Saccharomyces cerevisiae S288C: one gene and its partners. The protein of the gene in region 2 binds, or shares a complex with, the protein of the main gene of each other region. Each region holds a gene or a part of one and is shown on either strand. Other genes may lie near its edges. The genes, in order: UFE1, SEC20 and BET1.

Evidence for each region.
Region 1: SEC20 (region 2) and UFE1 share a complex: the UniProt entries of both Saccharomyces cerevisiae proteins name them as parts of the SNARE complex.
Region 3: SEC20 (region 2) and BET1 share a complex: the UniProt entries of both Saccharomyces cerevisiae proteins name them as parts of the SNARE complex.

The regions. Positions count from the first base shown.
Region 1 is NC_001147.6:460,471-471,350, forward strand, and holds UFE1 (Ufe1p), read left to right. Parts: upstream 1-7,741; coding exon 7,742-8,782; downstream 8,783-10,880. Other genes in the region: NRT1 (nicotinamide riboside transporter), read right to left, coding at 1-806; YOR072W (uncharacterized protein), read left to right, coding at 1,032-1,346; YOR072W-B (uncharacterized protein), read left to right, coding at 3,999-4,160; SGO1 (Sgo1p), read left to right, coding at 4,301-6,073; CDC21 (thymidylate synthase), read right to left, coding at 6,205-7,119; SKI7 (Ski7p), read right to left, coding at 8,907-10,880. UniProt on the Saccharomyces cerevisiae protein: Syntaxin required for targeting and fusion of Golgi-derived retrograde transport vesicles with the ER.
Region 2 is NC_001136.10:1,441,347-1,452,285, reverse strand, and holds SEC20 (Sec20p), read left to right. Parts: upstream 1-5,291; coding exon 5,292-6,443; downstream 6,444-10,939. Other genes in the region: PLM2 (Plm2p), read right to left, coding at 1-933; 60S ribosomal protein eL37 RPL37B, read left to right, coding at 1,433-1,439, 1,829-2,088; LCD1 (Lcd1p), read right to left, coding at 2,213-4,456; myo-inositol transporter ITR1, read left to right, coding at 6,819-8,573; PUF6 (Puf6p), read left to right, coding at 8,883-10,853. UniProt on the Saccharomyces cerevisiae protein: SNARE required for targeting and fusion of Golgi-derived retrograde transport vesicles with the ER.
Region 3 is NC_001141.2:343,827-354,225, forward strand, and holds BET1 (Bet1p), read right to left. Parts: upstream 4,680-10,399; coding exon 4,669-4,679; intron 4,538-4,668; coding exon 4,120-4,537; downstream 1-4,119. Other genes in the region: YIA6 (NAD+ transporter), read left to right, coding at 236-1,357; protein disulfide isomerase EPS1, read left to right, coding at 1,866-3,971; iron-sulfur cluster assembly protein CFD1, read left to right, coding at 5,296-6,177; CMI7 (Cmi7p), read left to right, coding at 6,475-6,684; phosphoinositide 5-phosphatase INP51, read right to left, coding at 6,765-9,605; YIL001W (uncharacterized protein), read left to right, coding at 10,114-10,399. UniProt on the Saccharomyces cerevisiae protein: SNARE required for targeting and fusion of ER-derived transport vesicles with the Golgi complex.

The DNA of each region.
Region 1 (10,880 bases), on a different chromosome or scaffold from region 2:
CCGAATCTTGAATAGTCACTTTGGTTGGTGGAACCTGGAGAAATGGAACCGAACCAGTATGAAATCATGTAAACCCAAGCCCATGCTCTTTTAGAACCAGTAACGGTAGATTTTGTGGAGGTAAACAATTCACCGACACCATGGGCATTCTTAGTCAAGTAAATCACTATACCCAGCATGGCAAAGCAAGTAGCTACACATGACCAAATTAAAAGGTAGTTCATATGGTAGGGTTTCATGAAATAGCAGAGCGCGGTGAGGACGTGGAAAATAATGAAGCCGACCAACTGCTTGGTGGTCATGGCAACACTTGGGGACAAAGTATTGGGCAGGTGCAGATAGTGGTGGGACCAGGAATCTAATATCATGTTGATAGATAGACCACCCAACCAAGCGTTGGAACCATAATTGACAATACTCATCAAAATTCTAATGATGATACCGAAGGCTGAACCGTAAATGCCAAAAACGAATCTTTGGGCCAAGGTGAAACCGATTTTCCAATCATAACCGGGGTAAGAGTTGGCCATAGTGAAAATAATGGTCAAGACATTACCGAGAAGAAACGAAACAATGGTCTCTGGGTAACTTAGGCCGACACTTAGTGCAGCAGAACCACTCATCCATGTACCTGCTGTAAAGGACACAGCGCCCCAGTACGCCAAATTAGACCAGAACCCCCATGTTTGATTTGCAGACTTGATAGGTTGCAAATCAGGGTTCCTCAGAAAATTCACGGCAGTCCTATTTTTGGCAGGAATTTCTAAATATCTCAAAAACTTAGAGACTATACTACTGAAGCTCATGATGATACAGGTGCTGAAGTCCTTTTTTTGATAGTTATAATGGGGATATCAGTACAATAAAGAATAATATAAATTCTGCAATAGGAAATAATATAGGTAATTGTTCTTGATAATTCTGGAGTTTATAAGATTTTAACTCTATTTATGAGAATAGAGAAGGAAAATTAAAACTACAATAGCGAATGCAAATTTTTTTCCCCGAAGAACAAATAGCGGTAGCAACACATGCTGACGAAAGTTGTGTTCCTCTTTTTTTGGAGCAGGTCTGACTCAACTAAAAAGCTAGCTGCATGCAACCACGCTACATTGGCACACTATATCCTGACGCCCGCGCTATACTCTGACGCCTGCGCTATATATTCTGACGTCTACTCCATAACTATTATAGTAGTGGCCACTGTTGTTCGTAACCCGGCGCGGTGTTCGCTCCGAGCACGAAAATTCTGTCGTTTATTCTCTTCCTTCTTCCAGTTCCATTACTTAAAGGAGCTGTTTTATTTCATTCGAAAGCCCGATGACAAATTCTCCTCTTTCATATAAATTAATAAGGCGGTCAGCAGGAAACTCCTATTGCCAACCGTCTTGCGAACCGACCGGTCGCTGCGCGCGATCATGCGTCCACGCGCTTCTGTGGCGACGGACGACTACAGCAAGACATTACTCTGGTCATTTACGCCTGGCGCCCAGAATGTACAAGCGCAGACGGCCAGATCATATGATGAAACGGAATAGTCCCAGCTATACCGGTGATCACAAGACGTAGTTACATAGATGCCTTGGCGCCGACACGATATTTCTTGTCGTTCTGTGCCAGTAATTCCTTTTCTTCTCGACTATGCCTCTAAGACGTCAGTCTTGGAAGCATAGTCTTCGTAAAAAAATTTTTTTTTTGAGGTTTTTGCTTCCATTTCTTTAGACTGAACTAATTTATTTTTTTTATTATTATTCAGTAATTTTTATATATTTATTTATGGACTTATTGAGGTGCTTTGGGGGTGATGACGTCCCCAGTGAGGCCCCCAGGGTAGTGGACCGCACCTAACTTCCCATTCATGATGTGATTACGCATTTTAATCTTGTCTATATGTTCTACAATGATGGCGTCAGTGCCAATGCCGTTCGCATCTATGAGGGAGATGAACTCGCTCTCGGCCGTTGGGTTTGAGGCGGTGCCGTAGTGTCCGCCTTCATTCCGGCTTCGCGGTGTCTACGAGGCATTCATTTTATGTCGCGGCAACTACTTGATATTTTCCACCAGGCACAAGGAGAAACATGGAGAAATTATATATAGAGAACTATGAGTCCTGAGGCGGCCGTTCAGTAGCTCAGATTGCCAGGGTTAAAAATTGCTCCTTGGCATCCTATGTGCTGCATACTAAAAAATTTTTAGCCACGTAGTTGTATACTTTTGTTTCCGGGGATGAGAAATTAGCCCCAGGTCCCAGACTTACAACAAGGTAGATAGGGGGGCGCACCTTGTCGTCATGAGACCCATTTCGTAGAAACTTGAATTTGTTGTTGTTACTTCTGTTTTCAAGTAGGAGTAACGAGGCCGCGTACAATTTGCCAGTGGATTTGTCGCCTGCAGCAGCGGCCGCGACGCGACGGGTTGATCCAATTTTGTGCTTGCTTCTTCAACTGAATATTTTGAGTCCACTGCATGTGGAAAACAGAGTTTTCAGTCAGTCTTGTATGTATATTATTCTCTTTAGCTCCAGAATTTCTGCTGTGCTTAGTAACTTCTTGCCGTTGAGCTGATTTTAGTAGTATAATTTTTTTGCAACTCTACTGATATCAAGAGCAGTGATATGTGCTTTAATGTTGGCATTTCTTTCAAGCCAATCACCTTCTACCATTGGTCACGGTCTCAGTATATTTGTCGTAAATATTAGTACTCTAGTCTGGTCAGAGAAGTGGCCTTTCTCCCACCAAAACGTTGTTGTTCTGTCTTTTTTCTTATTATTTACTATTTATTGGATTTATCAAAAATTCCTCAGGAACAAGATTTAATATTCTTGAAAATCCTGTATGTCATAAATCATGAGCTTGGAAATTGACACGAAATATCGGATGGCACTACTTGATGATCGTTTTTATCACTACCGCTGTACTTTAATTTCATAATTTATTTGGTGACATTTCTCTTGAAGATCTGGCAAGATGTACACGGGGAGCTCCTTCAACTGTTAAAAATATTTTTAAAAGTAAAGACGTCACCATACTTTTTCACCATAAGAACAATTACTGGTCCAGATTAAGAACGGTTGGAGTAAGAGCCAATTATCATTCATTGACTGGTATTTCCTTTTGAACTATATTATCATATAATAGGTAAGAAGATGGCAAAAAGGAAGGAGAAACAGTGGTCTGATGTGATAGGGAAGTAAATGTCAACAAATACCTAACAGTACTATCTGATCGAACAAAGAAATTCCACCAAACTGTCAGTAAATTTATTTAATGAGCAGCAAGGACATAGTGCACAACTAGCACTCTACTTCGATTGGGTTATTGAGGAAGAGGATAGTATGCCCGGAATTTTCAAGCATTTACATGATTATGGTTTCATTGGGGTGCAAGAAGACCCAGCATGATTAGATTGCTATGTACTCATTATATAATATATCTCCGATGAATATATTTCCGAAAGTTTACTGAAGGCGACCTTGGATAAACCATAGTTTTACGGCAAATACACCATATCACTATTTTCTTTCTATATAGCTTTGCTAAGGCTTTTTTTAGTGACCGAGACAAAGAAGAAAATTTTCCATAAATGAAAGACCATTGTTTATTCCGAATCAAGTTTTCCGAAGAATTGTTGTATTACACAGTCCAGAGACAGCAGAATCTTTCAGAAATTTTAATACTGTTGTGACAGCATCTTGTCTATTATTTATTGGATACGCAAAACTCATTTTTTTAAAATTTTTTTTATAATTTCCTTTAAATAAAAAGGTTAAAGCTGGGAAAAATGCATCTAAATAATAAACTAATGATTTAGTTTCCCTCATTTAAAATATCTAAGAAGGACAGAACTTTGTTTGGGGTACTTACCCTTGAGTATTTTTAGCGATTATTCTTGGAGTTCTCAGCCAGAAGATTAAAAGAATATATGTTACTGAATGCAGTGTGATACTCAAGACTAAGTAGTCTTAACAACAAGTTAACAAGGGCGTGTGGTCTAGTGGTATGATTCTCGCTTTGGGCGACTTCCTGACTAACAGGAAGACAAAGCATGCGAGAGGCCCTGGGTTCAATTCCCAGCTCGCCCCTTTTATTTTTGATTATTTATTTCCTATTGGTCGGGTAACAGATTTTTTTTATTTTTTTCAAGGCCCTTTTGTTTTGTAAACAAAGAAATTTCACAAAGTGAGCGTCTACTAATATTGATAATGCCATTTCCACATTACAACTACTGCTAGGCGCAGGGTTATATTACTTACACACGCATATATATGTTTAATTGGGTATAGAGGGGTTATTGTTTGACCATGCCGAAGAGAAAAATTGCTCCTAACAAGGAAAGCAGCAGGCGTACGGTCTCCCACGATGATTTAACCCCACAAATACAAGAATTTCAAAACCTAATGGATCTCGAATCGCAAAAAGTGGAAAACATCAGACAGTCGTATTCGAGGCAAAACTCCCTGCTGGCCAAGGATAACTCCATATTAAAAATTAAAGTTAATAGCTTGGAAAAAAAAATAAGCCAGCTGGTACAAGAAAACGTGACTCTACGATCTAAAACCTCTATAAGCGAAGCTATCTACAGGGAACGGTTAAGTAATCAACTACAAGTCATTGAAAACGGTATTATTCAAAGATTTGACGAAATTTTTTATATGTTTGAGAACGTACGTAAAAACGAAAATTTGCCCAGTTCGAGCTTAAGAACAATGTTGAAGAGAACGAGTTCCAGGTCAAGATCATGCTCATTGTCATCACCCACATACTCAAAAAGTTACACTAGGTTATCAAATCACGAGAATAACCTGTCGCATGAATCAAGTTTTAACAAGGACGATGGTCCAGATCTTGAGCCTAAGGCTAAAAAAAGGAAGAGTTCTAGGCGGCAATCTATGTTTGTATCCACGAGTTTAGAACCTGAAGACGAAACCGGTGAAAACGAACCCATGATGGAAAATTCCTCTGTAGAGGTACCGGCAGAATCACACGAGTCTGCGCAAGTGGAGGAAACAATAGATGCCTTAAACCCTGAAGAGGAAAATAGCGATTCTGTCAGTAATTTTACCAATTCAATTATAGAATACTCCATACCAGAGGAGAATCCGACAGAACCCGAGCATTCATCTTCTAAACTAGAAATATTCAATGACAGTACAAATATGCTAAGTACAGTGCCGTCAAATCCTTTGCCGTTGCCTTTACCAGGCCCATCCGCAACTTTACCTACTACCACTAGCGATGCTTCAACGGTCTATCCTTCATCAAGTTCTTCTACTAATTCTCATCCAAAGACCAAAATTAAGCATTCCATGAAGCCGCCTAGGATAGAACTGAAGAAAAAGGTTATTGACGAAGTCATGCCCGTAAGTAACATGAGCAGCAACAGCGAAATATCATTTACGAGAACTAGAAGAACTCGTGGTAAAGCTGTAGATTACACTTTGCCTTCTTTAAGAGCCAAAATGAGGAGGCCTTCAGAAAAACTTGTGGATGCTACTACTGTGATTGATATACATGATCTACAGGTTTCCAAGAGAAATCGGGAAACTTCACATAAAAGGAAAAGTTTATCCCAAGATTCAATACCCGACGAACCGCAATTGAGAGAAGTCGTCGTCTCAAAGGATTATGGAACTCCAAAAGGGAAAAAAACGGAAGATGAAATACACGAGGATACCGCTCATCTAATGACCACTTCCAACAACAACAGCAACAACAAAAACGAAAAAAAACTAACTAGCAACAATAGCCCTAAAAAATCGTCGCCTTTACTTGACATTACAAATAAATCGGAGAATAAGAAAAAGTCAACAAGAACTAAAAAATTGTTCAAAAATGCAATTGTCAATAATTTATCTGATGAAAATTCTACTACGCGACCCTCCAAGTCGTCAAAGGGAACCAGTAATAATAACAACAATTACAACAATTTCGACAATAACAATTCAAACATTAATAATGTTAATAATAAATCTGTTAGCTTTAGACTAAATGAAGATGATTTAGCAGTATTTGATTTATTTGGAAATGGTAAGGCAGTGAAACATCAACCAAAAACATATCGCACCAAAAAATGATATATAGTCTTTTTGCCCTGGTGTTCCTTAATAATTTCTATATTTTTGCATAATAAACCATTGTATTATATACATTCGATTTTGTGTGTATATACGTAAGTACATGATTTTGTTTCTCCTCGTGCTGTCAATTATACACTCATTTTCATTTGAATTCTTGGATGAGGATTATAATCTTCAATTTCAAAGTCTGTCAACTTGAAATCATCAATGTCTTTAACGTCCCTTTTAATCTTTAGTTTCGGGAATGGTCTTGGATTTCTGGTGATTTGTTCTTTCAAGGCATCAATGTGGTCTTTATAAACATGTGCATCCCCCAAAGTATGAATGAACTCACCTGGCTCCATGTCGACAACTTTAGCAATCATTCTAGTCAACAAAGCATATGATGCAATGTTAAATGGTACTCCCAACCCCATATCACAAGAACGTTGGTACAATAAGCATGAAAGGCGGGGCTTACCGGATCCTTCTCCTTCTTTGGGGAAACTGACATAGAACTGTGAAAAAATATGGCATGGCGGCAAAGCCATTTTGTCAAAATCAGCTGGGTTCCAGGCACTCATAATGATTCTTCTATCGTAGGGATTTGTCTTTAGTTTATGTATAACCTGTTTCAATTGATCAATACCTTGTCCAGTATAGTCGTCATCGCACGTCTTGTATTTAGCACCAAAATGCCTCCATTGAAATCCGTAAACGGGCCCCAGATCTCCTACTTTCCTATCTTTGAACCCCATCTTATCTAAATATTCACGAGATCCATTACCGTCCCAAATCTTAACACCTTGCTCAGACAATAGGTTAGCGTCTGTATCACCGGCCAAAAACCACAATAGTTCAAGTATGATACCTCTAGTAAAAACCTTCTTGGTCGTTAGTAGTGGGAAGGTATCATCACGTAAACTAAAACGCAGCTGGGGTGGTGCAAAAAGACTCAACGTACCAGTGCCTGTTCTATCTGGCCTAAATTCACCTTCATCAATGATTCTTTTGCATAGATCAAGATATTGCTCTTCTTCTTTGTTTTTTCCGTCCATAGTCATCCTGTACCGTTCTGTTATGAAGCTCTCTCCTTGATACTTTATTGTTTGATATACACAGTCACTTACAAGTTTAGAAAATACAATTACAGCTATGCTATAGTAAATATTTCAGGAAACGCGTCAATTAAGGTCTTTTTCATTTTTTCTATTTAACGCGTCACCAAATATTAAGTTTGAGAAAGAAGGTCAAAAAAGCAACACCTCTTCCAACCTGTTCAATGCGGTCCTACGTTGAGGACACAAAGCTAATCTCTTTGAGGTAGCTGCAGTATAATGACGGGACCTTTGCATATTTTATTGGCCTTTTCCAATGAAACTAATTTTTTAATTGAATCTCAATCCCGTCCTTTACAGACGAGAGGGGAAAGAAGCTTGTTCGCATGATCCATCCTGGAATATGGATACATGTCATGTAATGATAAATCATTCCTACCTTTGCTGGTATCTTTCTGAAAAGGGCACATTTAATTAAGAACTGCCAACAAGGAAAGATCTCCGTTACCCTACCCAACTTGTGAGCTCAGATGAATGAGAATAACTAGAATACATACACATACGTCTAGTATCATTTCCCCCGGTGCTGGGAAATCACCCGTAAAAGCAGTGAAGAGCTTATTAACTCATGATGTCTGATTTAACACCAATATTCCGTAAGTATGTTGCTGTTATCGATGATGCTAGAAATGAGCAAAATGGTATAGATGATCATGTTGAAAGGAAACAAGAGGACTTCGGGAATTCTAATGAAACGTGTGAAATGTTTAGGGATTCGTTTATTAAGGAATGTGCAAGACTATTGAAGTTCCTAGTCGAATTAAACAAGGTAATAAAACAGATTGAAAAAAACTATTTAGATGACTTTAATATGAGTGATGCGGAAAAGGACGAGTTTGACATGGAATGCAGGCTGCAAATTCAACAATATTTCAAAAAGTTTGAATTCCTAGAGAATTACGAAATGGAAAGGCATAATTTGTCGCTGAAAAGATTTCAGTCAAAGTCTCACAGATGGTCAAAAATACTTTCCAATAAAAACGACAACACTAAGCATGTGATACATCCGCAAGACATTGAAAATGGAGTTTATGAATTTAGATTAGGTGTCCTACGGTGTTTGAATTTGTGGATAAAATATGTTTCATCCAAATTCACTACCATACAACAGGAAAGATTGATATTAGAAAATAAAATGAATTTCAATTCAACGCCTATGCCTACTTTATCCAACAATGCGGATGATTTCTCTGCAGATGCAATAGACATCTCAGTGTCACAATCTGCTCCCGTAGAAACTGTACAAGACGAAGTAAAACATTATGAAGAGACGATATCCAAATTAACCCAGGAGCAACTACAAGTGTTGGAGACAGAACATTCGGAACTGCTAAATCAAAAAAATGAGCAATTGAAAAAAGTGGAGACTATAAACAAAACAATTTTAGACATTGTCAATATACAGAACGAATTGTCCAATCATTTAACGGTGCAATCTCAAAATATAAACCTAATGCTGAACAATCAAGATGACATTGAATTGAATATTAAGAAGGGAAATAAAGAATTACGTAAAGCGAAACGAGCTGCTGGAAGAACTGCTAAAATGACCACTTATGGTGCCATTATCATGGGTGTTTTTATATTGTTCCTAGATTATGTAGGTTAATATCACTTTCATAAGATATGTGTAAAATGGGTTAAAAAAATCAATCTATCATCAACTTATTACTATTCATTTTATATATTAAACAATAAGTATGAATGCCTAGTATAATTTCTTAGTTGTAGGATTACTGGCATGCAATTCTGCCAACTGCGATAACCTTATGATCTATTGATGTTAAAACAATATTGTTGGTAATGTATTTGGAATCAATCACATTAAGAGCAAAGTCTGGTTCTATAATTTCGACTTCGACAATAAGTGACTGATTTGGATTAATTGAGATGTCGTTAGTCCCGAGAATCTTCACCAATTTTACCGCGTTGTGCGTCAAATTATGGTAAAGAAGCAATTCAGAACCCAAGTCAACGGGATCACTTAGCGCGTGCGTTTGTATTGATAATTTTATTAAACGCAAGGCTAACAACTTTAGTGTGTTTGGTAAATTCGGTGATAGTGTATTCGTCTTTCTAGAGTGAATTATTATATCACCCTTACGAATGTGAAATTGCTTTTTCGTGAAGTCTTCGGTATTATGAATCTTAACAAGAACCTCTAAAATGTCAGGGTTCAAACCGACTGATATATTATTTTTTGTGTTAGTCTCCAGTATTTGTTTTGAATTCTTCATTCTTGAAACTATACCATAGTAATGAAAATCTTCATATTGTGTATGAATTTCAATTGTCTGGCCTGATTGAATATATCCGCTGTTGATCAAGACTTTGAGTGACACGTAATTTATCTCCGCTATCGGTTGAAGAACAGAAGATTGCAGTATTGTGCCTACAAATGGCTCTTCCAAAGTTGTTTCTATTTTGTTCATATTATGCTCTACCAATAGATATAGTTGCGAAAAAAATGTCGGACCTTCATACCATTCGGGAACATAATTTATAGAGTCAAATTCTGACTTATACTTAGATTTTGTGATGTTTTCAGTTTTATTCAAATTCGAACCTAATAAACCCGAACACGGGATAAATTGGAATTCTGCGTCTGTCCACTGAAAGTTTTCCTTCAACACATAATTTAGCTCAGACTGAATCATTTCTAGTCGGTGCTTATCCCAACTAATTAGATCTGCCTTATTCAAAAGAATTATCAAGTGCTTTTTGCATGCGGAATTCTTGTTCAAATAAGAGATCACTTTTAAAATTTCATAAATCTGATTATTTGGACCATCTAATGATTTTTCCCACGAGTCATAATTGCAATCAATAACCAATACATAAACTTCAGGATCAAAGGTCAAAATTGAGTTCAGAGTTTCTTTATTGAAGTATTTGATACTACCAGGAGTGTCTATAAGCGTCAAGGTTGATGATGGCGGTAGTAAATCATTTTCTACCTGAATAACTTTCTTAAACATGGAAAATCCATTTTCTCTTTCTGTTTTGGTATTGTCTAGAATGACCTTAAAACTATTTGAAGATGAAGGATCCAAATTACTGCTTTTTTTTTGTAGTTCCCTCATTGATGACATAGAAATTTCGTTTAGATCATATAAAAGATGACCAAGCAAAGTGGATTTGCCTGCGTTTGTATCACCGAGGAACAAACATGTCAAATTCAGAGGATGGGTGGCAATGAATGAATGAATATCAATCGACTCAGTAGGTGGTGTTTGAAGGTTAATTGGTTCCTTTTTTTCGGCCTTGGGCACAGATTTGATATTTAAGTTTTCTAATTTTTCATTGAAAGCATTAAGTTGGGCCGATTGTATTATATCATCAGGACTTGGTCTATTGAAATTCTCAATGGCTACTTTACGAGTTGTTTTCGGCAGGTTACAAGGCACAAAAATACCAAGGAGCTCATTGTTATGCTTTTTTAAGGACAGAAATGATGAATTCTGCGACGATAGCGGTATTGATGTACTCAACGAGTTTTTTTTATCTTTTATGATAAAGTTTGTGAACGCAAAATCGTCGGTTTGATTTATGCATGGATCGTTTTTCAAGAAACAGTAATGGTTCATTTCTTTAATAGCCTTCCATGACTCTTCTAAGTTGAGTTTATCATCAGGCGATTTCCTTTTGGTAGGGAGTTCGTTTTCTTTGCTGTCTAATGTCACTGATTTTCCTTGTTTCTCCAAATC
Region 2 (10,939 bases):
TTGGGGTGTTGTTCTATAACTAATGGGGGAGTTTTTCACAAGAGCAGGAGATGCAATAAGTAATGGTTTTGAGATCTGTTCTGTACGAGGTGAATGCTCAACTGGGACAAATTTCATCGAAGGTGTTTCTTTTTGCCAAGAAAAATCATCGCTCGTTGTTGTTAATAAACACAACTCATCCTCCGTTTCTGTCGAGTTCTCTTCGTCAAAGTTATTGTTGCCATCGCCAGGATAAGGTGCTACTTTTTTCAATGAAAGACAGACTGTGACGCCTGTAAAATTTATGAAACTTCCTTGGATATAGGGGAAAGTAACAGTTTCACCTTTAGCCAAAACAAAGCTGATGAAGTTTTGGTTCTTTTGAAGAGTTTTTCCATGCGATTGTTTAGTATTTTGCGAGGTCAAAGGCTCTTCTGCCACTAGTTTATAAAAGTTCCTTGTTGGGAAGGGTTTTACCAAATGCAACTGCATGGAGTAAGGCAAGTGAACGGACAACCCATTAGTTCCATTACATTCCAATTTTATTTCATTTCTGTCGGCGGCGTATGAAATAAAAGCGTGCTGCCTAGAGATATTCTTTCTGCATGGCAAAATAATGTTGCAGACTGATTTTTTCCTACCGATGGCTAAACGTGAGGGATCCGATGCATCTAATTCAATCTCGATAGGGCCTGCAAGCACCTTTTCTTGCTTTGAAGGAGATGACAAGGCAGATTTGGTCTCATTTAAACGTGAAGTGATATCTTTCACTGGTGAAGATTGTCTTCCGATGCTAGACGACGGGTCTGGAGTAGGATACTCTTCCAATTCGTAATTATACCGTTTTCTTCCTAAGGTCAATACAGAAGTATTAGCAAGCTTACCAGGTTCTTTTTGTGGGCTTTCCAAAGGTTTACCAGCAACTGGTGATGATGGTGGGAAGAGATGGGACATAACCAAAATTGTGACGATTTTGTCGTGAAACTTCTAGCGAAAAGACTAATGAAATCGGCAAATATTGTGTAAATAGTATACCAAAAAAAAAAACGCTTCTATATATTGTTCCCCGTTGCTAGTAACGATAGAAACGGCAAATAAGGAGAGAAATTAAACTTTCTTGGGAGAGGCAGAAGTGTTTACTTATTCTTCTGAAACAAAAACAAACGCGAAAAAAAAATTATCGCGTTTGGATTATCATTATTTAGACATTAACACCTGTACATATTTGTATTTTAAAAGCCGAACATTTTTGGGTTCTATATCAGTTTTTTTTTTCTTCAAGCACTCCGTACACCACTAATATTATCACTGAGAATCTTCCTGCCACTTGCGGGAAGGATGAGATTGGAAACATGGCTGGAATAGTAAGCATAGGTTACTATAGAAAGCGGTAACAAAAAGCACTACTATGTGTAGATAAAGAACAAAGAGGTAAACGAATATATAAGTAAAGATGGGTAGTATGTACAGGAATTATTAATTGATGAGTCAACGTTCAATCACATCCGGTCTGATTTAGAGGATTACATGAGAAAGAAGCACTGAAAAAATTTTCCACCAGGAGAGGCCAGGTAAACTAAGACCTACGTTATTCACTATGCCAAAAGATTTAAAAATATAGAATGATGAATGTTGCCAGAGCCATTGATGATAAGAAATTGCACATAACGGATGCATAAAGAGCGAATAAAAAGATTTGAGTGTCAATACAAAAAGGTGAGAAGAAATAGTGTAAGACAGCAACACACATCTAGACCGCCAATGAAGTTGTTCTGAATCCAGCAGTAGAGTTTATTTAGTTCAAAGTTTTACTAACGATAATTAACTTTTATGTTTTCATTTTAAACAGAGGGTACTCCTTCATTCGGTAAGCGTCACAACAAATCTCACACCTTGTGTAACAGATGTGGTCGTCGTTCTTTCCATGTTCAAAAGAAGACCTGTTCCTCTTGTGGTTACCCATCCGCTAAGACTAGATCTCACAACTGGGCTGCCAAGGCAAAGAGAAGACACACTACTGGTACCGGTAGAATGAGATATTTGAAGCATGTCTCCAGAAGATTTAAGAACGGTTTCCAAACCGGTTCTGCTAAGGCTACTTCTGCTTAAATTTGATATTATCTATAAGTTTTGTTCTTTCCTAAAACGAAAATAATATAAATTATATATAGTTAATATTAAGCATTACAAGGTTTCTATAAAGCGTTGACATTTTCCCCTTTTGATTGTTGCCTTACAGTCCCATTGAGATATATAATGAATCGGCCTCCTCTAGTGTGGTTAGATCGAATGATTTTGACTCAAGAATAGTTCTTGCCATTTCTTGAAATTTCTCATCGTACTTTACTTGCATTATTCTCCCCGTTCTTTTATTCAATTGCATCTTCAATTCTTCTTCGATATATTCTGGTAAATCCTCAAAGGCATCTTCGTAATAAGAGGCTTGATCCTTTATCGTCAGATCATGCAAACTATCTACAAGGTGTCGATGATCTCTCATTTCTCTTTCGTTTGCTGTCACAGTTTCGGTTTGGCATACGAGAAACCTCCATAGTGACATAATCAATTGGCTTTCTACCTGCTTGATTTGTTCTTCACGCAATTGTTTGAAATGGTCTTTCCATAGCCTATATATTATGGTTAAAGTATGTTCAATAAGATGGCATCTGAGGTCCAAGTTCGGGGAGTCTTGTCCCACGTACCTTTCTATCATTAACGCTTGCTCCCTGGATAAGAATTTAGAGGAGTGGATGAGCATTTCTCCATTTACTATGGTCGCATCGTCTCCATAGATCATTAATAAATTTTCAAAAATATTTAAAACTTCATCTTTTAACTTCAAAAGCCATTTTTCCATCTTGTAACCTATTATAGGGGCAGTGAATTTGTCGCTATCCATCCCAATATCCTCTTTAGAAATTACCCTTGGGACACTTTGCAATCGGTCAGTATAAATCAGCTTTGATATCAATCCTCCCAATTCATTATCACCTATATTTCGGATTAACCCAAAAAAGTCATGGTACTTCGACATATGAAGAGTTGTAGTATCCACATTTTCATTATATACGTCGCCACTCTTAATTTCCTTTTCCAAAAGAGCGTATAATCTTGTAATACAATCTCTCCACCAACTACCGCTTATCAAGGATTTCAGATCTGAGGAATTGTCCATATTTAATATTATACTAGTGATAATATTAACGACCTCGACTGCACTAAATATTACATTTACCATTGGCTTGTATGAAATGGTTAGTGCTAGTTTGTAGACAAATTCAAATGATTTTAGAATATTTTCATCAAAAAATTCCATATAAGTTTGCTTAGGATGCGACTGCAGTACCCTTAATATACCTTCTAGGAGATCAAAGGAATACGAAATTATCAAATAGTCTATCAGTTCATATTGGAAAATCTGAGGTTCTACATGCAAATTCATATTTGATTCATGTATCGGTACTTTCAATACATGATGATAGATTCTTATTAAATCGCAAATAAAAAGAAAACAATCCTTCAGTGCTAAATTATGAGTGGCACTAGGACGAAATTGTACAATCTGATACATCAATGCAACGAGAAATGGGACAGCTAATTTCGATTCATTTGGATGAACTGATATTTCCTTGATCAAAACAGCTATATCCTCTAGCAAAGTATCTATGAACCTGTCGAGGGTCAACGTCTTTTTACATCGCAAAAGTAGAGAAACTATGGACTTCCCTATGGGGGCTCCTTTAGCAATGACGAAATTCTTAAATTTAAACTCTGTGATGTAGTCAAGCTTCAATCTATTTAATATTTCTATTGTGCTCAGGTCAGCGCCTATTATTTGATGAAGTAATATTGACTCTAGAAATAAACTCGTTTCATCGGGAATAATCCTATTTGGGTTTAGGGGAACCATATTTTTTTTCAGTAAATTATCACTTATCTTACGTTTTTTTGATTGTGGTGATTGAGGTTTTGCTTCGATTGCAACTGAGGACGAATCTGGCGTTATAGTGTTTGTGTTTGTTGATAATGTTGTTGACGGTGGTTTTACATTCGTAATAACTTCCCTTTTCGATTTTCCTCTCGCTTCCATCTGTAAGAACTTCTTCTCATCTTCCAGTTTCTGTAATTCTTGTTTTAATTTAGCCAACTCTTGAAGATGCTTGACTTGCAATTCATTAACTTTGACGGCTTGAATATTCTTTTCCTTTTCCCTTTCAATGTTCAAAAAGTTTATTTTATCACGAAGCATGCTTGCTTCACCTTGAGCTTTATTCAGTTGGTTAACCAGTTGGTTATCATTTTTACTCTGTTTATTGTTTAATGTGGTCGTTGTAACCTCCAAAGTAGTGGGAATTTGTGTTTGTAATGCTGCTGATGATGGCGGTATTTGAGTAAACCTTGGAGGCCTGGTGCCTAATTCCAAAAGAATATCATCATCGTCATCTGAAGAAAATTCACCCACCGTTTCTCGTCTCATCTATAATAGAAATATGCAAAAGAGTTTGATGATTGTGTTGACGTTTCGTGCACTATCGCGTATTTGTTTGCTTTTTATTTTATTGCATGTGCTGTTTTCCCCAAAAAATCGATGGAACGCTCGGATTTGGCTAGAGGCGGGAAAAATCACCAATAATCGAAGAAAATAGAAGAACCAAGATACTAATAGCTCTTTGTAAGATAAATTTTGGAGTTACTACAGGTTACTATCCTTATTCAGAGACTTTTTACTGCTTTGCTCCTAATATTTAGTAGGAAAGAGCGAGCCTGTCTGACTCTTTTTTTTTTAAAAAAATTCAAGGTAAAACCTAACTAAACATAAAATTTCCACTCGAGTTATTCCGCTTAAAAGTGCTTAACATCGGTGCCACACAATACGAACCTTAGTAGAGAACCGACCGTTACCTCTTTATTAGCCCTAGTTTGTACCACTTAAGCTCTAATTCCAATCTAATGTGTGTGTATTTTTTTCTATTGTTAGCGCCGCACCAAAGAGGATCATGGTAAATACAATTACATAAAGAAAAGAAAAGCAACAAAACAGCTTCGTTTGCACCTTTAGCAAACGTTGGAATTTTCCTAATCTCAAAACAAGTGGTAAATCTAATCCCACACTAAAGAAAGCACGTCTTTACCAGTGACTTTATCAATAAATCACCTGCACACGCTGTCCGGGTAAATAGAATTGTTACTAAATAATGAAAAATACATTCGCAGTTGTAAAAATGCCAACAGAAATACCTGATATACAGTTAACAAGTAAGATCGGATCACGCTGCCAAGGCGCATAACAAACTATAAAGCCATTAAAGATTATGGTCGTGACATTTTTGCAGGACCTGGAAGTTTTGCAAGATGCATTATTAAATAATTTGCAAAAATTAAGTGCAATCTCCCGCAGAAAAGAAAGCGGAGAAAGCAAGCATGATAATAAGGACAGTTTTGCAGCCATTGCCAACGAACACAATGATGAAGAAGAAGAGATTGAATTTGAGGATTTGGTGAATATTATAGAGAGCAAAGTTTCAGATTTCGAATCGGTACTGAAATGTAGTATTGTGGAAATGACCTACAAATACCCCGAATTAAAATTACAGTGGGAAAAAAGCCCTAGATACGATCAATGCGATAAGTTGCATATTGTGAAGCTTGATAAACAAATGAACGAGGACATATATGCTCAGTTGGTCGAAGAACTGGATTTCGTGTTGCAATTCGTCGATTGGTTCTATTGCTACCGCCTGAAAGTCAAAGAGATTCTACGACAACACCACAAACGTGACTTAGCTTGGAACGACGAGAAAAGAGACCGCGCTATAAAATTTCACGCTGTGGATTACGACAAGCTTCACCAAGGAACGTCGTCATCGTCAAGCTTAACGTCCACATCGATGGAAAAAGCCAGCACTAGAGAGAAGCTTTTGAGCAAAACAAAACAACTGACGAATAACTTGGTGAGAGGAAATCAAATTTTGCAGTCCGGAATTTTACAAAGTGACCTGAATTTGGATGAATTGAGAGCCCAAACCAATTCCTTAACACAAATCGATGACAAGTACACTCAATTCGAAACCGTCTTCAAGAAAACTGCCGATTTGGTCAAAGTACTGGAAAATGCCTCCCATCAAGAGAAACGAGATGTCTATTTATCACTTGGGTTCCTCCTATGCTGCGTCTCGTGGGTTCTATGGCGTCGTATTTTCAAGTTACCTGTTAAACTCGGCCTCTGGCTGCTATTCAAGTTTTTCAAGGGTATACTCGTCACCCTAGGTCTAGTTAAAAGCTATGCAGGCTCCTCGTCCTCTCTTCAAGCACCCAGTCTTGTGCTAAATGCACCCATTCTAGCCACTACAACTACATCCTCAGCAACCTCTGTGGAACCATTCGCATCTGTATCAGCCGTCAGTAGTATCCAGCGGGCTGTCGATGAGGCCGTGGACAGGATCGTCTCACATGATGAGCTATGATAATTTTAACATCTATATAACATAATAAGCGCATATACTTAGTTCTCTCCATCCTCTCCATTTATTTTCTCTCACCATTGTTTCTGTTCTCTTCACATGCGTTAGGTATAGCTTATACCCCCCACTGGTTGCGCTAAATACGCCTTCCCCACCGCATGTGAAAAAAGCTCGACCAAGCTCAACGCGCTGTTGCAAAATGGAAAAAATATAAAAGGAATCAAGCCATAGTTGAGAAAAGACCTTTCACACTTGGGCTTTTCTTTGGCAGGTGTTTGCTCTATTCTTCTCTTTCAGTTTGGTGCGCTATTCAGATTTATTGGTCGTCCTACTGTATACATCTCTTTCATTTTCTTTGTTTCTGCAGTGGGTGTTAAAATGGGAATACACATACCATATCTCACGTCAAAGACATCGCAATCAAATGTTGGTGATGCCGTTGGCAACGCTGATAGTGTAGAGTTCAACAGTGAGCATGACTCACCTTCAAAGAGAGGTAAAATTACACTTGAGTCACATGAAATACAGAGGGCTCCCGCTAGCGATGATGAAGATAGGATTCAAATTAAACCCGTGAACGACGAGGATGACACGTCGGTCATGATCACTTTTAACCAATCTCTTTCGCCCTTCATCATCACTCTGACTTTTGTCGCATCCATATCCGGTTTCATGTTTGGTTACGACACTGGTTATATATCCAGTGCGCTGATCTCGATCGGCACAGATCTGGACCACAAGGTACTTACTTATGGGGAGAAGGAAATTGTCACTGCGGCTACCTCTCTGGGAGCTTTGATTACCAGTATTTTCGCCGGTACTGCAGCTGACATATTTGGTAGGAAACGTTGTTTAATGGGTTCGAATCTGATGTTTGTCATTGGCGCAATCTTACAGGTCTCCGCACACACATTCTGGCAAATGGCTGTTGGTAGACTGATCATGGGTTTCGGTGTCGGTATCGGCTCCTTGATCGCGCCACTTTTCATCAGTGAAATTGCTCCCAAAATGATCAGAGGGAGACTAACTGTCATCAATTCCTTATGGTTGACTGGTGGTCAATTAGTCGCTTACGGTTGCGGTGCTGGGTTAAACTACGTCAACAATGGTTGGAGAATTCTTGTTGGATTGTCACTAATTCCCACTGCTGTGCAATTCACATGCCTGTGCTTTTTACCTGACACTCCAAGATACTACGTTATGAAGGGCGACTTGGCAAGGGCTACTGAGGTGTTGAAGAGAAGTTACACTGACACTTCGGAGGAAATCATTGAACGTAAGGTGGAAGAACTTGTTACTTTGAATCAATCTATTCCTGGTAAGAATGTCCCTGAAAAAGTCTGGAATACCATCAAAGAATTGCACACAGTACCATCTAATCTAAGGGCTTTGATCATTGGTTGTGGTTTACAAGCAATTCAACAGTTTACCGGTTGGAATTCGTTGATGTATTTCTCTGGTACCATCTTCGAAACTGTCGGTTTCAAAAATTCTTCCGCTGTTTCAATCATCGTGTCCGGTACCAATTTTATTTTCACTTTAGTTGCCTTTTTTTCCATTGACAAAATAGGCCGTAGAACCATATTATTGATTGGATTACCAGGCATGACCATGGCTTTAGTCGTGTGCTCTATTGCTTTCCATTTTCTAGGTATTAAGTTTGATGGCGCTGTCGCTGTGGTGGTTTCCTCCGGTTTCTCCTCTTGGGGTATTGTGATCATCGTATTTATTATCGTATTTGCTGCGTTCTACGCTCTTGGTATCGGTACTGTTCCATGGCAACAATCGGAACTATTCCCCCAAAACGTGAGAGGTATTGGGACTTCATATGCAACTGCTACAAACTGGGCTGGTTCACTGGTTATTGCATCCACATTTTTGACCATGTTACAGAATATCACTCCTGCAGGTACATTTGCCTTTTTCGCGGGATTGTCGTGCTTATCAACCATTTTCTGCTACTTCTGTTATCCAGAATTATCGGGATTGGAGTTAGAAGAGGTACAAACTATTTTGAAGGACGGGTTCAACATCAAAGCCTCGAAAGCTTTGGCCAAGAAGAGAAAACAGCAAGTTGCCAGAGTTCATGAATTGAAATATGAACCAACTCAAGAGATTATAGAGGATATATAGTCCTTTCACGAGGTAAAAGGAAGGAGACGCAATTGAATATTCAAATACATAGTAGAAAATAAATAAAAATAAATTACAAGATAGAAAAAAGTTCATTGTATTTAAGTCGAACTAATTGTTGTATGCATATATAGAAGATTAACTAACCCGGCATTGAAGACCTTTTTTTTTTTTCACCTTGAGAGAAATACTGAAAATTTTTTTTGCTGGGATGAGATGAGATGCCTACCTAAAGTATTTCGAAGGTGAAAGCGTTTTATTATAGAGTACTGAAATAAAGCACAATCAGGAATAACAAATTAACTGACAATGGCACCTTTAACCAAGAAGACAAACGGAAAACGTTCTGCTAAAGAAGTTAGTCATTCAGAAAAGAAATTAGCCAAAAAACCTAGAATTTCTATTGATTCGTCTGATGAAGAATCAGAACTATCCAAAAAGGAAGATGCTGTATCCTCTTCATCAGATGATGATGATTTGGATGATTTAAGTACCAGTGACTCTGAAGCAGAAGAAGAAGCTGACGAATTAGATATTTCCGATGACAGTGAGGAACATGAAAATGAGAATGAAGAGAAAGAAGGAAAGGACAAATCTGAAGGAGGTGAAAATGGAAATCACACTGAACAAAGAAAACTGCTAAAAGAAAGGAAAATGCAAAGAAAATCTGGTACCCAAGTGCAACAAATTAAATCCGTCTGGGAAAGATTGCGTGTGAAGACCCCACCTTTACCAAAACAGATTCGTGAAAAACTTTCCAACGAAATCTGGGAGCTATCTAAGGACTGTATCAGTGATCTTGTCTTAAAGCATGATGCTTCCCGTATTGTTCAAACTTTAGTCAAGTATTCGTCCAAAGATCGTCGTGAACAAATTGTCGATGCTTTAAAGGGAAAATTTTATGTTCTAGCCACATCTGCGTACGGTAAGTATCTATTGGTTAAGTTACTGCATTATGGTTCAAGAAGTTCAAGGCAAACTATAATAAATGAATTACACGGTTCTTTGAGAAAATTAATGAGACATCGTGAGGGTGCCTACGTTGTTGAAGATTTATTTGTTCTTTATGCCACACATGAACAAAGACAACAAATGATTAAAGAGTTTTGGGGCTCTGAATATGCTGTATTTAGAGAAACCCACAAAGATTTGACCATTGAGAAAGTTTGTGAAAGTAGCATTGAAAAAAGGAATATTATCGCCAGAAACTTGATTGGTACCATTACCGCATCAGTAGAAAAGGGTTCCACCGGCTTTCAAATTCTACATGCTGCTATGAGAGAATATGTGAAAATAGCCAACGAAAAGGAAATATCTGAAATGATCGAATTGCTTCATGAACAATTCGCTGAATTGGTGCATACTCCAGAAGGTTCAGACGTTGCTTGTACTTTGGTTGCTAGAGCTAACGCCAAGGAAAGAAAGTTAATTTTAAAGGCTTTGAAAAACCACGCCGAAAAATTGATCAAAAATGAGTACGGTAATATTGTCTTCATTACAATTCTGAACTGTGTTGACGATACAGTTTTAGTATTCAAGACTTTCAGTCCTACTGTTAAGGAACATTTGCAAGAATTCATAATTGATAAGTTTGGTAGAAGGCCTTGGTTATACATACTATTAGGTTTGGACGGTAAGTATTTCTCACCTATCGTCAAGAATGAATTATTGAGATACATTGAACTGTCCAAAGCCACCTCTAAGAAGGATCCTTTACAAAGAAGGCACGAACTTTTGTCAAAATTCGCCCCCATGTTTTTAAGCACTATATCAAAAGATTATTCCAGTATATTGACAGAGAATCTAGGCTGTCAGTTCATTGCCGAAGTTCTAATAAACGATGAGTTGTACGCGCAGCTGAATGAAAAAGACCAAGAAAAGTATCAACAGGTCTTAAACAACATTTTAACTACTTTTAAGGGTGACATAACCGAAGAAGAGCACCCAATACATAGAGCATTTTCTACTAGACTATTAAAGGCACTAATTCAAGGTGGTAAATGGAATAACAAAGAAAAAAAGGTCATACCATTAAAAAATGTTCAAGGCTTAGGCGTTCCATTTGCTGAAAAGTTATACGATGAAATTATTGACTCCTCCAACTTGTTAGAATGGATTAATAACGCTGATAGTTCATTTACAATTGTTGCACTGTATGAAACGTTAAAAGATCAAAAAGAAGGGAAACCATTTTTGAAGGATTTGAGAGGAGTTCAGAGTAAAATCACCACTGATGAAAGTAACAAAGGCTCTCAGCTTTTGGCTAAATTGTTAAAATAAATTTTCTACGATAAAGTCACAATATTTGGTATATAAGCATCTGTACAATAATAATAAAAAGCTTGATCTCATTGAAAGTGCAGGTA
Region 3 (10,399 bases), on a different chromosome or scaffold from region 2:
ATTAATGAATAGCCAGTAGTAAGATCCGTATTGATAAAGGTCATAGATCCCAACCTTTATGTGAGCCAGCCCGAAGGGCCCTTTAAATGACTCTCATAATATGGTCCAATAGCACCAATTTCTAGGGGTTACCCACCGGCCTAGTGCTTAATCGAATTCTGAAAAGAATCTCTACTACAGACTGCCAACCGTAATAGTAGTGAGATCAACACTGAAGGCAGCAGTCTTTAGCACAATGACACAGACTGATAATCCTGTCCCCAACTGCGGTTTACTGCCCGAGCAGCAGTATTGCTCTGCAGACCATGAAGAGCCACTGTTGTTGCATGAAGAACAATTGATATTCCCTGATCATTCCTCCCAACTGTCCTCAGCAGATATCATCGAGCCCATCAAGATGAACAGCAGTACTGAGTCAATTATAGGGACAACGCTGCGAAAGAAATGGGTACCACTATCCTCAACTCAGATCACAGCTCTTTCCGGCGCATTTGCTGGATTCTTATCAGGTGTGGCAGTATGTCCCCTCGATGTTGCCAAAACGCGATTGCAAGCACAAGGACTACAAACTAGGTTCGAGAACCCCTACTATAGGGGGATAATGGGGACATTAAGTACTATAGTAAGAGACGAAGGCCCGCGGGGCCTCTACAAAGGGCTGGTACCGATTGTCCTGGGCTACTTCCCAACCTGGATGATATACTTCTCCGTGTATGAATTCAGCAAAAAGTTCTTTCACGGCATCTTCCCACAGTTTGATTTTGTTGCTCAGTCATGTGCTGCAATCACGGCAGGCGCTGCATCTACCACCTTGACCAACCCAATCTGGGTTGTGAAGACAAGACTTATGCTGCAATCAAACCTCGGTGAGCACCCCACACATTACAAAGGCACTTTCGATGCATTCAGAAAGCTATTTTATCAGGAAGGGTTTAAAGCATTATATGCGGGGCTGGTCCCCTCATTATTAGGGCTATTTCATGTGGCTATCCATTTCCCTATATACGAAGATTTGAAGGTAAGATTTCACTGCTATTCTCGGGAGAACAACACCAACTCCATCAACTTGCAACGGTTGATCATGGCATCGTCCGTCTCTAAGATGATTGCATCAGCAGTAACATATCCGCACGAAATTTTACGAACCAGAATGCAACTGAAATCAGATATACCAGATTCCATTCAACGACGTCTGTTCCCCCTCATTAAAGCAACTTATGCACAAGAGGGACTAAAGGGATTTTATTCTGGATTTACTACTAACCTAGTACGAACCATTCCGGCCTCGGCAATCACTCTAGTGTCCTTTGAGTATTTCAGAAACCGCCTAGAAAATATTAGCACTATGGTAATTTAAAGCCTTAAAATTCACACACGCCACACATTGAGTGTGCTATGAATATGCCTGCGCTAATATTTTAGGTATTACAGCTTGTAAATATACCAAATAAGGTAAGCCTCTCTTTTCCTAATACTAAAAGGATTTGCATCGAACAGCCCACCAAATGCTTTGCGCACACATTATATACACCCACATGATTCTATAGACAAAATATACTTATACATTTTCATAGTCTTGACAATATTCTACATTGGCCGTTTTCTTGGCACTATTTTAGCTTATCCTTACCAAAATAGTCTCTTTTTTAAATACTATTTTTGAAGCGGAAATAGGTGCGAACAAATGAATGGCTTCAATTTAGTGCGATAAAGACGTAAAGCATAAACCAGTGAAGATCATAGCACTAAGAAGGCGCCTGTACTGTTCCTCGTGTTGATACTCATTTCCTTATTTATTTTCCTCAAGAAATTCTATCCAGGAAAGAAAAATACTATCTATAAAAACTAGCTGTAAGGCAGCAGCCATGAAAATGAATCTGAAAAGGCTCGTAGTTACCTTCTTCTCATGCATCACCTTTCTGCTGAAATTCACTATAGCCGCCGCTGAACCACCAGAGGGCTTTCCAGAGCCCTTAAATCCAACAAACTTCAAAGAAGAGCTATCTAAGGGGCTGCATATTATTGACTTCTATAGTCCATACTGTCCGCACTGCAAACATTTAGCACCTGTTTGGATGGAAACATGGGAGGAGTTTAAAGAGGAGAGCAAAACACTGAACATAACATTTTCACAGGTTAACTGCATCGAGAGCGCCGATTTGTGTGGAGATGAAAATATTGAATACTTCCCTGAAATTAGACTTTATAACCCCTCAGGATACATCAAATCGTTCACTGAAACACCGAGGACCAAAGAATCATTAATTGCATTTGCACGCAGGGAGTCTATGGACCCAAATAACCTCGATACTGATCTGGATTCTGCTAAAAGTGAGAGCCAGTATCTCGAAGGCTTTGATTTTCTCGAGCTGATCGCTGGTAAGGCGACTAGGCCACATTTGGTTTCCTTCTGGCCAACAAAAGATATGAAAAATAGCGATGATTCACTAGAATTCAAAAACTGTGACAAATGCCATGAATTCCAAAGGACTTGGAAGATCATTTCAAGACAGTTAGCCGTGGATGATATCAACACGGGCCACGTTAATTGCGAATCTAATCCAACAATCTGTGAAGAACTGGGCTTTGGCGACTTGGTGAAAATAACCAACCACAGAGCCGATAGAGAACCCAAGGTAGCATTAGTCCTACCCAATAAAACCTCAAATAATTTGTTCGACTATCCCAATGGCTACTCAGCGAAGTCAGATGGCTATGTAGATTTTGCCAGGAGGACTTTTACAAACAGTAAATTTCCCAATATAACAGAAGGGGAGCTCGAAAAAAAAGCAAACAGAGACATTGATTTTCTGCAAGAAAGGGGACGAGTAACTAATAATGATATCCATTTAGTTTTTTCATATGACCCCGAAACTGTTGTTATTGAAGATTTTGACATTTTGGAGTATTTAATCGAGCCTTTGTCAAAAATTCCAAACATATATTTGCACCAAATTGACAAGAATCTAATAAATTTGTCACGTAATCTTTTTGGAAGAATGTATGAAAAGATCAACTACGACGCCAGCCAAACTCAAAAGGTTTTTAACAAAGAATACTTTACTATGAATACGGTTACGCAACTCCCAACTTTTTTCATGTTTAAAGATGGTGATCCCATATCCTATGTTTTCCCCGGATACTCCACAACAGAAATGAGAAATATTGATGCCATTATGGATTGGGTAAAAAAGTATTCTAATCCCTTAGTTACCGAAGTTGACTCTTCTAATTTGAAAAAATTAATTTCCTTCCAAACCAAGAGCTACAGTGATTTAGCAATTCAGTTAATAAGTAGCACTGACCACAAACATATCAAAGGAAGCAACAAGCTTATTAAAAACTTGCTCCTCGCAAGTTGGGAGTATGAACATATTCGGATGGAAAATAACTTCGAAGAAATTAATGAGAGAAGGGCAAGGAAAGCAGACGGGATCAAGAAAATAAAGGAAAAAAAGGCTCCGGCTAACAAAATTGTTGATAAAATGCGTGAAGAGATTCCCCATATGGATCAAAAAAAATTGTTATTAGGATATTTAGATATTTCAAAGGAGAAGAATTTTTTTAGAAAATATGGTATTACTGGAGAATATAAAATTGGTGATGTGATTATCATTGATAAATCAAATAATTACTACTACAATAAAGATAATTTTGGCAACTCCTTGACTTCTAACAACCCTCAATTGCTGAGAGAAGCATTCGTGTCCTTAAATATTCCATCAAAAGCTCTATACAGCTCTAAGTTGAAGGGGAGATTGATAAATTCTCCATTCCATAATGTCCTCAGTTTCCTAGACATAATCCACGGGAACGGCATGCCCGGTTACTTAATTGTTATTGTTTTGTTTATCGCAATACTCAAAGGTCCATCTATTTACAGAAGATACAAAGTAAGGAAACACTATAGGGCGAAAAGGAACGCTGTCGGTATCCTAGGAAATATGGAGAAAAAAAAAAATCAAGATTAAACGCTTAAGTAGTTATAAAAATAAAAGAATGCTGATATCTTATGATGCTATCATAACTATCCTTTATTTCACGTATCAATATCTACAATCATCTAACAAACGTCGCTCTTATTTTGTCACTTAGGTTTAATGTACAATATGCAAATATTTATGTAATCCATACCCAAAAAAATAGCACGCCTACCATAAAAAATATTATTAACCATGTTTTTATACTGATCCCAGATCTTCTGGCCATCTCCATCATGTTTCCAAAAGTCCTTTTGAGTTTTACAGAAGTGTTATGGAAAGTATCACCAAGCTGGTCAATAGTTTGATTGCTGCCTCTAATCTCATCACCCATCTTCAACGATAATGACTTGAGTGCTTTTATTCTCTGACCCATAGCTCCCATCTGTTCCTCACTTTGAGATTCAAGAGATGCCAAAGTACTTTGGGAGTAGTCTAATTTATCTGTGCTCCCTAGCGCTGATGATACATTGTCATCGAGACTATTTGATCCATCAGCCGGTCCGAATAACTGTGTTCTACCAGTATCACGTTGATAAGCGTTTCCCCCTGCAAATCTATATACACACGCTATAGTTAGTAAACGAAGTTCACTCGTGGTCAATAACTCCCAATATCGAGGTGTTATGGTAGATGTTTAACAAAAAGCGCTACTCTAACTTTAGAATAGTCTAATAATTTCTCATACCTTGAACTCATCTGTGTAGCCTAGTGTTGTGAGGCTCTTCAATCACATTTTCTAACACATTCACAGTCTCAAGTGAACTACTGTTTGTTTTCTACCATTCCTTGGCAAAAGGCGCGAGTTGAAAAAACTCCATTTTTAACAACTACTGGATACTTTCGCAATTTAAAATTAATGGAAGAAAGAGCCGTGAACGTTCCTACGTAGCTTGCAACAACGGTAGAGTAGTATCCGCCAATTAGCATGCATAAATTTCATCTGAGATAGTGCAACATTATAAAAAATCACTAATACTTTCCCTGATATGTCGCCCCTTCAAATTTTTTGCACGCCACATCGATAAGAGTGAAACATATCCCTGAACAGTAACCTAGAATGTACAGAAATAACTGGAAATACAATTACAAAGCGATAATTACGGGATCTTTGGTTCCTATCACAGAGTAAACACCATGGGTTTATTAGATATTATTTGGAAGAATCACATTAGACGGCTCATCGCGCAAGTAATAGCAAAATGGAAAGAAATCGGAAGGCTTCATTAGTCATGAACGTTTTACACCATCAAAATGAAAACTATACACATGCGTCGAGGAGCACCCAAAACTAATACGACTATTACAATTAAGCATGGAGGAACAGGAGATAGGCGTTCCTGCGGCCTCTTTGGCAGGAATAAAACATATCATATTGATCCTTTCCGGAAAAGGTGGTGTCGGTAAAAGTTCGGTAACGACACAGACTGCGCTGACTCTTTGCAGTATGGGCTTCAAAGTTGGAGTTTTAGATATTGATTTAACAGGGCCATCCTTACCGAGGATGTTTGGCCTAGAGAACGAATCTATATATCAAGGTCCTGAAGGTTGGCAACCTGTGAAAGTGGAGACAAACTCTACTGGCTCTCTTAGTGTAATATCATTGGGGTTTCTACTAGGTGATAGAGGGAACAGCGTGATATGGAGGGGTCCTAAGAAGACTTCTATGATAAAACAATTCATCTCTGACGTCGCCTGGGGTGAACTGGATTACTTACTGATCGATACCCCTCCGGGAACGTCGGATGAACATATATCGATTGCAGAGGAGCTGAGATATTCCAAACCAGATGGTGGTATTGTAGTAACTACCCCACAGAGTGTTGCAACAGCTGATGTCAAAAAAGAAATCAATTTCTGCAAGAAGGTCGATTTAAAGATCCTCGGTATAATTGAAAACATGTCAGGGTTTGTATGCCCGCATTGTGCTGAGTGTACAAATATCTTTTCCAGTGGGGGTGGTAAAAGATTATCGGAGCAATTTTCTGTCCCATACCTTGGTAACGTTCCTATAGATCCAAAATTTGTAGAAATGATTGAGAATCAAGTTTCAAGTAAAAAAACGCTTGTAGAAATGTACAGAGAATCATCTCTTTGTCCCATTTTTGAAGAAATAATGAAGAAACTGAGGAAACAAGACACTACAACCCCTGTTGTGGATAAACACGAGCAACCCCAGATAGAATCTCCAAAATAAGATCCTCTCCTATGCATGTACGTATATATATATATATGTGTGTGTGTGTGTTTATATACACTTATATTTTGATCCTTGGGCCTAGAAATAAATTTCGATTCCTATTTCGATTCCTATATCGAAAGGTGGTTAGAAGCTAACCGGCAACTGCAGCATGTTCTTCAAGTGGTGATACAAATTTAAAAGGCCGGGTAAATATTGACAAAGAAATAATATTTAATCACACAATTTTGAGAAAGAGCAACTGAATCAATTACTCTAGAGAAATCGCAGAACACTTCACTCGTCGTCAATAATATGACTCGTGATACACCCGAAGATGTCAGTACTGCAGGCGCAAAGGATATTTTAGATGTTTTGAACCTACTAAAAGGAGGAGAAGAGAAAATCTCGGAAGTCGAACTTAAGTTGGATGAAATGGAAAAGAAAATGGACTCTCTGTTAGTTCAGTTAGAAGATCTACACAGGGACAACAATGATTTGGCAAAAAGTTCCAGCCAAAAATAGAGAGTACGCTCACAGCCGCATAGGGAAGGAACGCTAAATAAATATATTTATATATAATCTTTTCACTAATGATCATTTACTTACCTTTCTATAAAAAGTGGCTCATCTTCGTTCTCAACGAATGGATTGGGATCTCTTTTAGGATTAATCATGTAAACGGCCGGGTCTACGTCAAGAACTACTTTAACTTGCTTCCCACTTCCAATCCACCATTTTTTTAAATCCGAACTAGGTGGTGGTAACTTTCTACCTCTTTTGGGCTCGGGAATTGGTGTCGGAGAATGCGTAGGGCCAGCTATCGAATCACTGCCCTCAAAACTTTCGATAACAAATGCATCATCACTCAAAACTGCAATTTTCTCATCATCATCCAATCCCTCTAGCCTTTCCATAATCTTCTCGTAGATTTGCGTACCCAAAGTAGTCTTTTTTTGTTCATCCACTACAGTCACTCTAGCCCTAAATATGGCATATACGGGCCGATGATCGGAAAATAGTATATCTTCACAGCATTTATATTCTAACTGTTCTAGTACTTCTCCCCTACTTAAAATCCTATCAGTCCATGCTGGTATTCTCATTTTTTCGCTCGTGTCGTAGTTTTTAGTTCCTGGGTCGAATTTATAGGTAGGTGGGAAATCAATCGCCATTTCATGGAAATATGGAAAAGACTCACCTGCGATCATTTGTTGATTAAGTTGATCCTTTTCAAATAGGCTGGCATATTCTTTAGAAACAATTTTTCGTCTAACATCTTCGTTTGACATCAATATTCTGTAATTGAAATCGCCCATCCAAATAATTGCATCGTGATCCTTTATTCGTAATCCTTTAGAAAATCGTATGCTTTTCGCAATCGTCTTATAATCATTATGCCTTTGTTCAACATTTTCTAAGCCTGCCGCTAAATGAGATACTAGTACGCAAAATCTTGTAGCTGAGTATTTAAAACTAACCGCGACAGCTCCTTTATTAGAAGCCATTCCTCCAAACCCGGTTTTTTTAACATCCCCCTCAATATGCTTTACCTTGGAATATTCCGTTTCATTCATGAATAATAATAGTAAAATACCACCCAACTGTGTACTCCATAAACGGATATATTTTTTTTTGCGTCCGGGCCCATTTAATAGTGTTAATATCTTCTTCTCCCAAAATTGTCGGACATATGGATCGGTAGCAAGCATATGACCTGGGGTAAGTTCTACCACTTCTTCTAATCCGATAACATAAAGATCAGCCATTTCATCCTCCTTGGACATTGATTTTGGAAATATCCAATCTTTTATATCATCTTTTGGAATTTTACCACTTATATTAAATGTACCTGCAAAAATTGAGATGTCTTTCTCAAACGTATATTTTGACCTTAATTGCTTTAAATACTGAGAGATGTAGATATGGAGCGGGTCGTATAATCTAACTCGGGAACCAAATAACTTCGAATAAACCTTTGTATATTTACCAGAATTCTTCGTGTGCTTAGTATACGTTCGATCAAGCCAGTAATAGTTTTCTGACCATAGCTTATCATGTGCGTCCAAGAATGGGGAAGTCAATTCAAATACATCAATTTCATTTGTGGTTAATTCAAGTACCTCCTTGCTCACTAACCTTTCAACTGTGTTAGGTTTTTCAATTGAATCAAATGCGCTTATTCTTAATACCCCCGTTTGTTTTGCAAAGTAGATGCCCCTAGAGATATCATAGGCAAACGCTCCAAACTCGTAAATATCCTGTTTTAATAAATAAAGTAATTTGTGGGGAGACTTTGTCAGAACGCTTGAGCTGTATTCTATATTTGTTATTTTTATTCCCTTTGATTCAGCACAATCCTTGTACGTCAGTGCTAACTTTTCTTGTGATTCGCTTTTAGGTTTTATGATATTAACGATACTCACAACACCATACTTTGAGGTTAAATTATCAAAATGCCTGTCAAAAGCTCCCTGAGCTTCAATAGAATCTTTTGTTACCTTAATTTTTTTTCCATACAACAGTTGACTTTCTACAGATTCCCAAAAAAGAGGAATGCTTCCGTTCACTTGAGTATAAGAAAAAATAAACTTTTCTGTGGTTACTACAATTTCTGTCTCAACAAATAGCGACACTCTCCCATCTTCACTAATACCCTCCAATTCTAGCGTATCCTGCTTGCTCTCAGTCGAAATTCTGGAAATAATGGTTATAGAGGCTGTATTTGGGCCGTCTTCTATTAATGCTGTCTTGCAATAACCCCGAATTACAAATGTTAAGAACCCTGCGTTGGCAAAAAGTTGTTTCTCCTCATTTGAAATCTTGCTTCTCCAGTTGATTACCTCACTTGCTAAGTTAGCATTCCAAATAAATGATAAATCTTGATTATCTACGGTATATTCTAAGTTATGTGATAAACCATGGTTTTTCACGATATTAGAGATGTCGAAATCTCTAGAATAGTAGAATGTTCCATCACTAAACAGTTTTTTCAGGGGGCCGCAAGGATGCTCATGAATCAATTTATCATAGTTTTGCTCTGATCTCTCGCAGAGGAGGTAGTCGAAAACATCATTTTCTAAGCTGTAAAAGTCAACATCCAATACTTTATAAATGCTCTCCGAAGGCCTAACTTGATGATCTATCAGTTTCCATCGAGGAAACCCAACATTCTGAACACCAGATATGACGGCAACATATATATCACCATTAAGACAAACGAGCCCTAATAATCCATTAAATATGCAACTTTTGACTTCGAGATAGTTACTATCACTTGAAAGATCTGTGTCAGGGTAGGACTTGATTGTTACGCTAGGAGTTTTACTTAATTGACGCTGCTGAGAACTGGCACCTGGTATGCTGCGCAAACGCTGGAAGGATAAACAGTAGTTGTTGGAAGATATTACAATCGACCGTGATCTTCTACCGATGAAGAGTCTCATTGTAGTGAAATGTGCTTCGAATTCATACGATTAACACAACTTTATCAATATTTGCTGACTTAATCCTAGAATGAAATAGAAAGGCTATTTGATTTGTGTAGATATTTGTTCCAACTTTCCGGTTTACAAATGTTTAACAAAGGGATTCGTTTAGCAATTAGGCAATGCTAAACAAGAAGGAAAACAGGAAACCCTGAAGGAGATAAAACGACGTCAAGAATAGAAGATAAAAAAAAAGGGACATTAACAGGTTATATTGAAACTCAATTCCTGCCTAACCTTCTAAATTGAGAATTTAGAAACGGTATCGCTTATTCTGAATTCCTAAAACACCCATCCCTTTTAAGTAAAATAATAATACGTGGACTACGTAGATGTGGACACTCAATTTACTTACTATTCTCTATGGTCATATTGACAATAAACAAAAATACAAGAAAAAAAAAACTACAGGAAAGATTTGTCATAAATTGTACACTACCACTTGAAAACGACCTTTGGCATATTTATGGCAGATAAATTAATGGACAAAAATTTTGAAGAACTGTGCTATTCATGCCGCACTGGTGATATGGACAATGTTGATAGATTGATTTCCACGGGAGTAAATGTGAATAGTGTTGACAAGTTTGACAATTCGCCACTTTTTCTGGCTAGCCTTTGCGGGCATGAAGCAGTCGTGAAACTTCTTCTACAGAGAGGAGCCGTCTGTGATAGAGACAGATATGAAGGAGCTCGATGTATTTATGGAGCATTGACCGATACTATCAGAGATACCCTTTTAAGTTATGATA